3 linked regions of the Callithrix jacchus genome follow. The protein of the gene in region 1 binds, or shares a complex with, the protein of each later gene. Links are inferred from orthologs where the notes say so. Each region holds a gene or a part of one and is shown in the gene's direction. Other genes may lie near its edges.

The links.
Region 2: the proteins of XIAP (region 1) and CASP7 are in contact, whole or in part, in a crystal structure (PDB 1I51), measured with the Homo sapiens proteins. The link is inferred for Callithrix jacchus from reciprocal best matches to the Homo sapiens genes XIAP and CASP7. Residues at the interface, in NP_001158.2 of Homo sapiens: His136, Ala137, Leu140, Leu141, Gly144, Gln145, Val146, Val147, Asp148, Ile149, Ser150, Asp151; in NP_001218.1 of Homo sapiens: Tyr230, Trp232, Arg233, Ser234, Pro235, Gly236, Arg237, Trp240, Glu274, Ser275, Gln276, Asp279, His281, Phe282.
Region 3: the proteins of XIAP (region 1) and CASP3 are in contact, whole or in part, in a crystal structure (PDB 1I3O), measured with the Homo sapiens proteins. The link is inferred for Callithrix jacchus from reciprocal best matches to the Homo sapiens genes XIAP and CASP3. Residues at the interface, in NP_001158.2 of Homo sapiens: Ala137, Leu140, Leu141, Gly144, Gln145, Val146, Val147, Asp148, Ile149, Ser150, Asp151, Thr152, Ile153, Tyr154, Asn226, Leu231, Gly232, Arg233, Asn234; in NP_001341706.1 of Homo sapiens: Tyr204, Trp206, Arg207, Asn208, Ser209, Lys210, Asp211, Trp214, Gln217, Lys242, Thr245, Glu246, Phe247, Glu248, Ser249, Phe250, Phe252, Thr255, Phe256.

The regions. Positions count from the first base shown.
Region 1 is NC_133524.1:119,628,224-119,631,723, forward strand, and holds part of XIAP (E3 ubiquitin-protein ligase XIAP), read left to right. Parts: intron 1-2,640; coding exon 2,641-2,740; intron 2,741-3,500.
Region 2 is NC_133513.1:106,634,765-106,638,264, forward strand, and holds part of CASP7 (caspase-7), read left to right. Parts: intron 1-1,645; coding exon 1,646-1,761; intron 1,762-3,500. UniProt on the Homo sapiens protein: Thiol protease involved in different programmed cell death processes, such as apoptosis, pyroptosis or granzyme-mediated programmed cell death, by proteolytically cleaving target proteins.
Region 3 is NC_133504.1:6,755,016-6,758,515, forward strand, and holds part of CASP3 (caspase-3), read left to right. Parts: intron 1-329; coding exon 330-454; intron 455-3,320; coding exon 3,321-3,449; intron 3,450-3,500. UniProt on the Homo sapiens protein: Thiol protease that acts as a major effector caspase involved in the execution phase of apoptosis. Following cleavage and activation by initiator caspases (CASP8, CASP9 and/or CASP10), mediates execution of apoptosis by catalyzing cleavage of many proteins.

The DNA.
Region 1 (3,500 bases):
AGGGCTCCTAAAAAGTAAATAGATGCCTTTAGCCCCCTGAACTGGTAAATATTTAGGTATAATTTGGCATGATTATACCTATATTCATCTTATTCTGTGAACTCTTATGTTGAACCTGTAACGTAACTACTGAACTTATGTGAAAAAGACTACCATATTATGAGTCACATTTCTCTTCATGTAATTGTTTTTAGGAAGTAATAACATGCAAAAGATGGTAGACATCTCCAATAACAAAATGGGTCCAATAAAATACTTTGATTTATTGAGCACCTATTATATGTGCACAGTATGTATACTTCATGCATTTTCTCTAAGCTTCACAATTTTTTTTTCTTTTCTTTTTCTTTTTTTCCTTTCCTTTTCCCTCCCTCCCTTCCTTTCTTTCCTCCCCTCCCCTCCCCTCTCCTCCCCTCCTCTCCCCTCCCCTCTCCTCTCCTTCCCTCCCCTCCCCTCCCCTCTTCTCTCCTCCCCTCCCTTCTCTTCTTTGGGATTTCACCAAGACCAGGATGGTCTCAATCTCCTGACCTCATGATCTGCCCATCTCGGCCTTCCATGGTGCTTGGATTACATGCATGAGCTACCACACCTAGCCCATAATAACTTTAATAATTTTTTTTTTTGAGACGGATTGTTAGTCTTGTTGCCCAGACTGGACCACCTGGCCCACAATAACTTTAATAACTTTTTTTTTGAGGTGGAGTTTCACTCTTGTCCAGACTGGAGTGTAATAGCACAGTTTCAGCTTACTGCAACCTCTGCCTCCCAGGTTCAAGCAATTCTCTTGCCTCAGCCTCCCGAGTAGCTGGGATTATAGGCATGCACCAACACGCCCGGCTAATTTTGTATTTTTAGTAGAGACAGGATTTCTCCTTGTTGGTCAGGCTGGTCTCAAACTCCCCACCTCAGGTGATGCGCTGGCCTCAGCCTACCAAAATGCTGGGATTATAGGCGTGAGCCACTGCACCTGGCACTTTTTTTTTTTTTTGAGACAGAGTCTCACTCCATTACCTAAACTGAAGTGCAGTGGCATGATCTTGGCTTACTGCAACCTCTGCCTCCTGGGTTCAAGCTATTATTGTGCCTCAGCCTCCTGAGTAGCTGGAATTACAGGCACATACCACTGCACCTGTATAATTTTTGTGTTTTTTAATAGGGACAGTGTTTTACCATGTTGGCCAGGCTGGTCTCAAACTCCCGACTTCAAGTGATCTGCCCACCTCAGCCTCCCAAAGTGTTGGAATTTCAGGCGTGAGCTACCATGCTTATCTTCCCAATAACTTTATTTATTTATTTATTTTTTTGAGATGGAGTATCACTCTGTCACCAGGCTGGAGTGCAGGGCGCAATCTCGGTTCTCTGCAACCTCCCGCTCCTGGGTTCAAGCAATACTCCTGCCTCAGTCTCCCAATTAACTGGGACTGCAGATGCGAGCCACCACACCCAGCTGTTTTGTATTTTTAGTAGAGACAGGGTTTCACCATGTTGATCAGGATGGTCTTGATCTCTTGACTTGGTGATCTGCCCACCTTAGCCTCCCAAAGTGCTGGGATTACAGGTGTGAGCCACCGTGCCTGGCCCACAATAACTTTATAAAAAGAGCTAACATTAGAGAGTTTAGTTTGGCTCATGCTGTAGTAAAATTGACATCTGCCTTTAGTACACAAAGTATATATATGGAAGCTGCCTTGTATTATGCTTGGTGCTTCATATGAGTGCTTTTCAAATGAACTATGGTAGACATGCCAGGAAGGGTCATTGGTGTAATTGCTTCTAAAGATATTTTTAAAAATTATGCCATTATATATTTGACCCATTTATTTTAAGATTGAATAATTCCTATAAAATATTGGTTATTTCAAAAGATTTTTATTTATGTACCATTATATAGTAATCTTGAAGGTTTGTTTAGTGTCATGTGGCTATAAACTTAGGGAAACTTATCTCATAATTCCATTATGTAGAACTTTAATGTTACTAACACTTGGAAAATAACTTGTTTTAAAGTTTCACAGTTTGAAACAGTAGGTACAATATTGGTGGCCCAAATAACATACTAAAAAGAAAGTATGCTGGGTGCAGTGGCTCACGCCTATAATCCCAGCGCTTTGGGAGACCAAGGTAGGCGGATCATTTGAGGTCAGGAATTCGAGATCAGACTGGCCAGCATGGTAAAACCCCGTTTTTACCAAAAATATAGAAAATCAGCCGGGTGTGGTTGTGCATGCCTGTAATCCCAGCTACTTGGGAGGCTGAGGTAGGAAAATCACTTAAACTCAGGAGGTGGAGGTTGTAGTGAGCTGAGACTGTGCCATTACACTCCAGTCTGGGCAGCAGAGCAAGACTCAGTCTCAAAAAAAAAAAAAAAAAAAAAGAAAGTCGCAATCTTAATTTTGACATAAAACTTGGACAGTTTTATTTTTGTTCTGTAAAAATACCTCAGATTGAATCAGTGAATTTAGTATTTCTTCCTCAAATGATAGAGATTGTAAGTGTTACTTAGATGTGAATTTGAATGTCTTGTTTTAAGCTGTGAGATTTTCATGTTTTTTAGATGTGCTTAATTTTTAGGTGTTAACTGAATATTTTTGTGTAAGCTTCTAGTCGCACAAATACATATATTCTTGTATGTTTTCTTAGGTGACAGTGATAAAGTAAAGTGCTTTCACTGTGGAGGAGGGCTAACTGATTGGAAGCCCAGTGAAGACCCTTGGGAACAACATGCTAAATGGTATCCAGGGTAAGATACTCAATTATTCATTCATTCACAGGCAAATTGGATAGCATGCAGTGGGAGACTTGAATTACTTTTTGCCTCAACGATTTCTGCCTTCACTATGGCTTGAAATTCATGCCAGATTTATAAAAATGAGGAAAAAACCCACCTAAGCCTTCTCTGATGACCAAAACATCCACTGCTTATGTATCACCAAAACATCCACTGCTTATGTATCATATCTATGACATTCAAATTATCCCATTTATTTTTTATTTTATTTATTTACTTTTTGAGACAGAGTCTCACTCTGTTGCCCAGGCTGGAATGCAGCGGCACAGTCTAGGCTCACTGCAACTTCCGCTTGTTGGGTTTAAGCAATTCTCTTGCCTCCGCCTCCCAAGTAGCTGGGATTACAGGCACCCACCACCATGCCTGGCTAATTTTTGTATTTTTAGTAGAGACAGGGTTTCACCATGTTGGCCAGGCTGGTCTCGAACTCCTGACCTCAGGTTATTGGCCCGCCTCAGCCTCCCAAAGTGCTGGGATTACAGTTGTTAGCCACCGTGCCTCGCCAGATTATCCCATTTTTTTTTTTTAGTTTTTATTTTTGAGACGAAGTTTTGCTCTTGTCGCCCAGGCTGGAATGCAGTGGCCTGATCGTGGTTCACTGCAACCTCCGCCCCTTGTGCCTCAGCCTCCTGAGTAACTGGGATTACAGGTACCTGCCACCACGCCCAGCTAATTTTTGTATTTTTTAGCAGAGACGGGGTTTCACCATGTT
Region 2 (3,500 bases), on another chromosome or scaffold:
CTGTTATACCAATCTGTATGCCTTTGCGTACTCGTAACTTAGCTTCCACTTGTAAGTGAAAACATGATATTTGGTTTCCATTCCTGACATACTTCACTTAGAATGGCCTCCAGCTCCATCCAAGTTACTACAAAAGACATTATTGTAATGTCTCCATCTTCCTTCTTTTTTGTTTATTTGTTTAGACAAAGTCTCGCTCTGTTGCCAGGCTGGAGTGCAGTGGCACGATTTCAGCTCACTGTAGCCTCCACCTCCAGGGTTCAAGCGATTCTCCTGTCTCAGCCTCTCAAGTAGCTGGGACAACAGTCATGTGCTGCCACACCCAGATAATTTTTGTATTTTTAGTAGAGACAGGGTTTCACCATGTTGGCCAGGATGGTCTTGCTCTCTTGACCTCGTGATCTGCCCACCTCTGCCTGGCCAACAGCCAGGCCCCGTCTCTACTAAAAATATAAAAAAAATTAACCAGACATGGTGGTGGGCACCTGTAATCCCAGCTGCTCGGGAGGCTGAGGCAGGAGAATCAGTTGAACCTGGGAGGCAGAGGTTTCAGTGAGCTGAGATCATACCATTGCACTCCAACCTGGGTAACAAGAGTGAAACTCCATCTCAAAGAAAAAAAAAATGATTCCAATACTGGCTCTGCCTTGGGCCAGCTGCATCACCTTTAGCTAATTCTTTTCCCTTAGGGTGTGTGTTTCATCCAGGCTTCCATTTAATTAAATATTTTAGTAAAAAGTCTGTGTTCCAGCTACCTCTGCTATGATGAACTTACATTGTCGTATGGGAGCCAAATAGCAGAGTACAGATAAACAAGCCACATACAAAGGCTATGTGGGAAATGAAGACAGAGTGCGGGGTGGGAAAGGGCCAGGTAGTAAATATTTTTGGCTTTGTGGCCATAATCACTCAACTCTGCTTGTAGACAGGAATAGCTAGAGGCAATACATAAATGAATGGACATGGCTGTTTTCCAGTAAAACACTTCTTACAGAAACAAGTGTTGGGCCATGGTATGCTGACTCCCAGACTAATCAGGGACTCTGGACCACATCAGCCTGCCATGCCTCTGCCATCTTCACACATCCATGGGGAGGGGGACATTCAGGGAAGGAGGTTTATGCCTTAAAATCCAAGGAGATGGATTGAACTTGTAGTTAATGGGGATCTCTTGAAGATTCTCGCAGGAATGTAATTTGATGGAAATCTATTTTGTATAGAACTATGTAAAATCATCTGACATAGAAAGAGCCTAATACTCCAGGTTGTCGCTGTTTTTGAACTGTGTATGAGCACTCAGTGACCTGCTAGGAATTTAGGGGGAATTTTTCATTGTTGTAAACCTTGGCAAATCTTCCACTGTTTCTTGTATGCAGTGAACATACAACAAAATTGTGGATGTTGGATTAGAAGCTCCCTGAGGTCAAAGACTTTGTTTTCTTTGCTGCCACATATGTAGTCTCTGGGATGTAAGCATATTCACTTACTTGAATGCATTAATGGGGCAATAACCCTGAAGCTTAAATATGCAAAACGGCTCACCCCTAGGCATAATCTAAAACCATGTCACCTAATGAGTGTCATTTAAAAATATCACAAAGCCAGTGATGCCACTGACCTTGTGGCTTATTTTTTCTCTTTCCAGATGGCAGACGATCAGGGCTGTGTTGAAGAGCAGGAAGTTGTGGATTCAGCAAGTGAAGATTCAGATTCAGTGGATGCTAAGCCAGACCGGTCCTCATTTTTACCAACCCTCTTCAGGTAAGTTTCGTTAATCAGACACTCAGGACCGCATCATCCTGCCATGCCTCTGCCATCTCCACCCACCCATGGGGAGAAGGACATTCAGGGAAGGAGGTTCTTGCTGAGCACGAGAGGTTTGCACAGGTTCTTGCTAGCTGTATGCAGCAACACTGGGGTCCTCATGTACATCCTCTTCTCTGTGGGCCAAGCCCAGCAATGGGCAAAACCAGGCATTGGGAGGCTCCTGCTCAGCAGCTGAGTGTCTGGTAGCAGTTCCCAGGAATAAGGGGCTTTTCTCATTAGAGGTGATTTGCAGGCACCTTCAGAACAGAGCCTGGGCTGCTGCTGCCAGTGGGACCAGGTTTGACAAAAAACACAGAATCCAGGGGCCGAGGGGCAGGAGGTTTTAGGGTGACTCACTCCCACCCTGTGCCTCCTGAGGCACTCCATTGGTGGAAGGGGGCTTGCATCCTATTTTAATTCCCACCTTTTCCTTTCTTGAGTTCACTTTTAAAATTCTAAATTTTGCATTTAATAATATAATAGCTTCATTGATTAAACTCTTGTATGCATGCTTGGTATCATTGCATTCAGTCTACGTAATTGCACAGTTGGTTTTATGTTATCACCAGATAGGGAAACAATTGCGCAGTTGGGTTTATTGTTATCACCAGGTAGGGAAACTGAGGCACTATGAGGTTTAATAGCTTGCCTTTTTGCTGATAGTTAGTAAATGGTAAAGCTAAGATGAGAAACTAAACAATGGCAGCACCACTCACTTAAAGGTTCTGCTGTGTGCTTTCCATTTAAGAGTAGGACTAGCCTGGTACAGTGGCTTACTCCTGTAATCCCAGCACTGTGGGAAGCCAAGGAGGGAGGATTGCTTGAGCCCAGGAGTTTAAGACCAGACTGGACAACATAATGAGAGCCCCATCTCTACAAAAAAAAGATAAGAAAATTAGCAGGGTGTGGTGGCACATGCCAGTAGTCCAGCCACTAGAAAAGCTGAGGCAGGAGGATCAAGTCCTCGAGTCCAGGAGATCGAGGCTGCAGTAGGCCATGACTGTACCACTGCATTCCAGCCTGGGAGACTGAGACTCTGTCTTGAAAAACAAGTTTTGTTTTTTTTTTTAAAATAAAAAATGAAAATAGAGCTAAAAGGATATGGAGGAACCCCAAACCCTCCCTTAACCTTGATCTTGGATGGGCAGTGAGTAGAGCTTCCTAAGAGAAAAGAGGCAGTGTGAGTCAGATGCATCGCACTTCTTTGCATTCCCTAAGCCAAGTCCTACTGGGAGAGATAGCCACGGGGATAAAGGCTGAGGCTCGGGAGTGCTCCCAGGCAGTGCTCAGGAGGGGAGGAGCTGGTGGGAGGAGCAGCCAGGCTCCCAGCACCCCAGAGTGGACCTTGGGTCGTATCATCCCACATAGGACTTGGAAAAGTGGGAGAACCCCAATGCTATGGACCCAGATTCTGTTGTTTGCCAAATAGAGTCAAGAATATCCAGTGAAGTGACCAGAAAATATAGTTCTGACTCCTGAGACTTCACAAAACCATGAGAAATTGGTGCAGGCCAAGCCACTCCCCAGGGAAAGCTCCTTAGAGCAATGGTCTTCAAATGCCTTTGCTTGTATGTCCTCAAAATAATGTAAAGCTGTGTGCTCTCTTATATATTTTAAAATAACATACACATTTTTGTCAAGATAGTTGCAAAAGATGTAACATTTCACTCTTCCCAACCCTTTTTGAGAATTTC
Region 3 (3,500 bases), on another chromosome or scaffold:
TAATTTTTAAATTATAAAGGTATTTGGTGAAATTTTTAAGAATTTAGAGGAAAATGTAAAACATGGAAGCTAAAAGCCTGAACTCGGAAGTCCAGCAGATACTTCCCTTCCTTCTTGGCTGTGGCACAATCTTGGCACATTTCTTAGCCTCATGGCAGGTCATTTGCTCATGTGGAACATGTGTTGATGTGAAATTGTAATGGAGACAGTCTGGTTTATAGCACTCAACAAGTGTTCACTGTTACTGTGAGTTATAGAAATTGCACTAATGTAAACAGAAAGCATGGTCATTTCTACCTTTGTAAAGCTATTATTTGATTTTTAAACAGAAAGATCATACATGGAAGCAAATCAGTGGACTCTGGTATATCCCTGGACAGCAGTTATAAAATGGATTATCCTGAAATGGGTTTATGTCTAATAATTAATAATAAGAACTTTCATAAAAGCACTGGTATGTATCTTACATTATGTTTAATCTTTTTTAAATATTTGTGCCATTTACATTTGCTATAATATTGAAAGCAGTATTGCGGTATTATTAGTCATTAAACTATGACACAGACTAGCTGTGAAGTAGAGACCGGGCAGCACGCTCAGGCCGTGTGATGCACTGTGACACTGTGAACTGTCTCCTCTCCCGTCAGCTGGTTTCCTGTCTGTATGCTTCTTCTGTCCTGACTTCTCCACAGTCTTTGCTGCTTTTTCGCCTTTCTGCTCCCTCTTTGATTCCAACGGAAGGTTTTCAAAAAACAGTTGAGTAGTAGTATTTATTTTTTCCCCAGAAATTTCAAGACATATCACAAGCATTGCCTTCTTTAATTGTATGACAACCGGAAAGAAACAATTCCATTCTGAGAGGTTTTTAAACCTTGCACAGTCAGAGCAGGTAGCCTGGTGGCAGAGCTCAGTCTGCGTCACTCCAAAGCCCGAGCTCTGAATGCATCTCCTGTTCTGCTTCACCTCCTTGTATCTTCATGGGCTCTATTGCCTGTCTTCTCTTACCCTACGAAGCTGACAGAGATTGCCCATCTTAGAAAGATCTTTCTTTTATCCTGTTCCTTTTAATTCCTTTGATATTTATCTTCTTCCCTTCTTGCTTAAATTTTGAAAACATGTAGTTTAAGCTTGTACTCTTCACTTGTTCCAGTCCTTCTAGAGTCTTTTTCTATTTTGTCTCTACCACTGACCTGCTCTCTTTAAACATACCATGGCCTGACCACCAGATAGAGCCCCCTCTTGGTTTCTGTACTCGAATGTGGTACTACATTTGAGAATTATATATTTTTTAGAAATATAGATAATAAAATCCTTCACAATGCCAAAAAAGCTAATTAACATTTGGTGTATTGATATTTTTACTTGACAGTTTTTTTAAAGCTTGATTTTATTTATAACATGTAAGCAATGTTGTATTCTGCTTGTTTCACTTAAAGTAATAGCATTTTTTATATTGCTGCATAATTTTTATATCTGTTATAACGATTATATAATACCGCATCCCCAAAATACACCATTCACTTAATTTGCATAACTTACTATATAAATGACCCTTATGGCTGTTTCCCTTTTAAATTGATGCCGTGACAATTCTTTGAATTGGCATATTAATCATATTAGAGTTAATTTTTAGTTAGAGAAGCTATAGTAGATCTAATTTAGGACAGTACCTTTCAGAGTCGTGGTGGAAATGAAAGGAAGCCAGATTACACTGGGAAGACAGCAGGGCCTGTGTCAGGTTAGTTGTAAGGAGTGATGAGATAATGGAGCTCTAAATGGAACTTGTATTGCTTTCGGCTACAAGTTGAGATGCCGCCTTCAACCGCAAACTTAAAAAACACAACACCTTGTTTACTTTTGCTTTATACATATGTGAAAATTTAGTTCTAGATAATTCTGCCTTACGTTTATCTAGTTAGGATACCTTCTTCCTGTAGAATTTCGCATTTGGATCCATTGTTTAAAAAACCAAAAACAGGCATATCATTTCTCTACCACCACCACCTCCCCCACGTATTTAGACCAGCAATCTGGGTTTTGCCCTCAGTGAGTTCCTTTCCTAGTTTGCAATGTAAAGTCAGGTTCTCATGAGATCTCTGGCAGGCTGGGATTGGGCCAGGTACCATAGCTCATGCCTGTAATCCCAACATTTTGGGAGGCCAAGGCTGGAGGATCCTTGAGCACCAAAGTCCAAGATCAGTCTGAGCAACACAGGGAAATCCCATCTCTACAAAAAATAGAAAAATCTTAGCAGGGTGTGGTAGTGCGCAACTGTGATCCCGACTACTCGGGAGGCTGAGGTGGGAAGACAGCTTGGATCCGGGAGGTCGAGGCTGCAGTGAACTGTACTCTGGCCCACAGAGCATGACCATGTCTAAAAAACAAAAAAAGTTTTTAAAAAGGCAGCCAACACACCAGCACCAGAAGCCAGTGACCTTGTCACACAGCTGAGATAATCAACAACATTTTGGAGATGTGTATAGACTTTTTGTATCTAGTCTTCATACACCTCAAATTTACTCAATTCTGAGGTGTGTTTCCCACCAACATTTCAGCGTTTTGAAGTCTCAGTGCGTCATGCAGTCAATCTGTACATGAATGTGGAAGGTTCTTTAAAGGAGTGGTAGGAAGGCCAGGAGCCCTGGATAGAGGCCCAGCACCACTCTGTCACTCTGGGCTAGTTTGTTAACTTTACTGCATGTCCCACATCTGCACACGTGAAACCGGTAATCATACAGCTCTTACGGTGACGGGAAGGATTAAAGATTACCCACTGCAGAATATCTGATGAGCAGTAACAACGTTTGGGGGTTTTCCTTGAAGACACTGTGAATGTTATAATGCTATCTCCAAACCGTTGGGAAGCTAGAGTCAGAAACGCAGTTCTTCTGAGTGTGATAGATAAATGTATGTATTATAGGATCGTATTGTTTTCTAGTTTTATTTTTTTAAACAATGATGATTTCCCCATGGCAAAATTTTATGTTTGAAAATGACAACATAGTATATCGCATTATATAAGTGAGTATAATGTGTCTAACCAAACCCCTATTGTTAGACATGTACGTTGTTTCTGTTTTTTACTACCTAAACAGCTATGAAAGATATCTTGGCTATAACACTAATAAGGTTATGGTTTCAAGTGTCTTACTACAAAATTGAAGAGATTTTATGTCACCATGATCAAAATAGTTAGAATTCTCTTTCATTTGAAAGGAAGAATTTATTGTGGACTTTTGAATTGCTGAGTAGCTCATTTCATGTCAAAGTAGTTATTCTTTGTTTTCAGTATAATTAAAAGCGCTTCTTTCTGTTCCAAGGAATGGCATCTCGGTCTGGTACAGATGTGGATGCAGCAAACCTCAGGGAAACTTTCATGAACTTGAAATATGAAGTCAGGAATAAAAACGATCTCACACGCGAAGAGATTGTGGAACTGATGCGTAATGGTAGGAAACAAGGGTGAACTTCTAAAATATGAGAATTGTGGAATTATATGA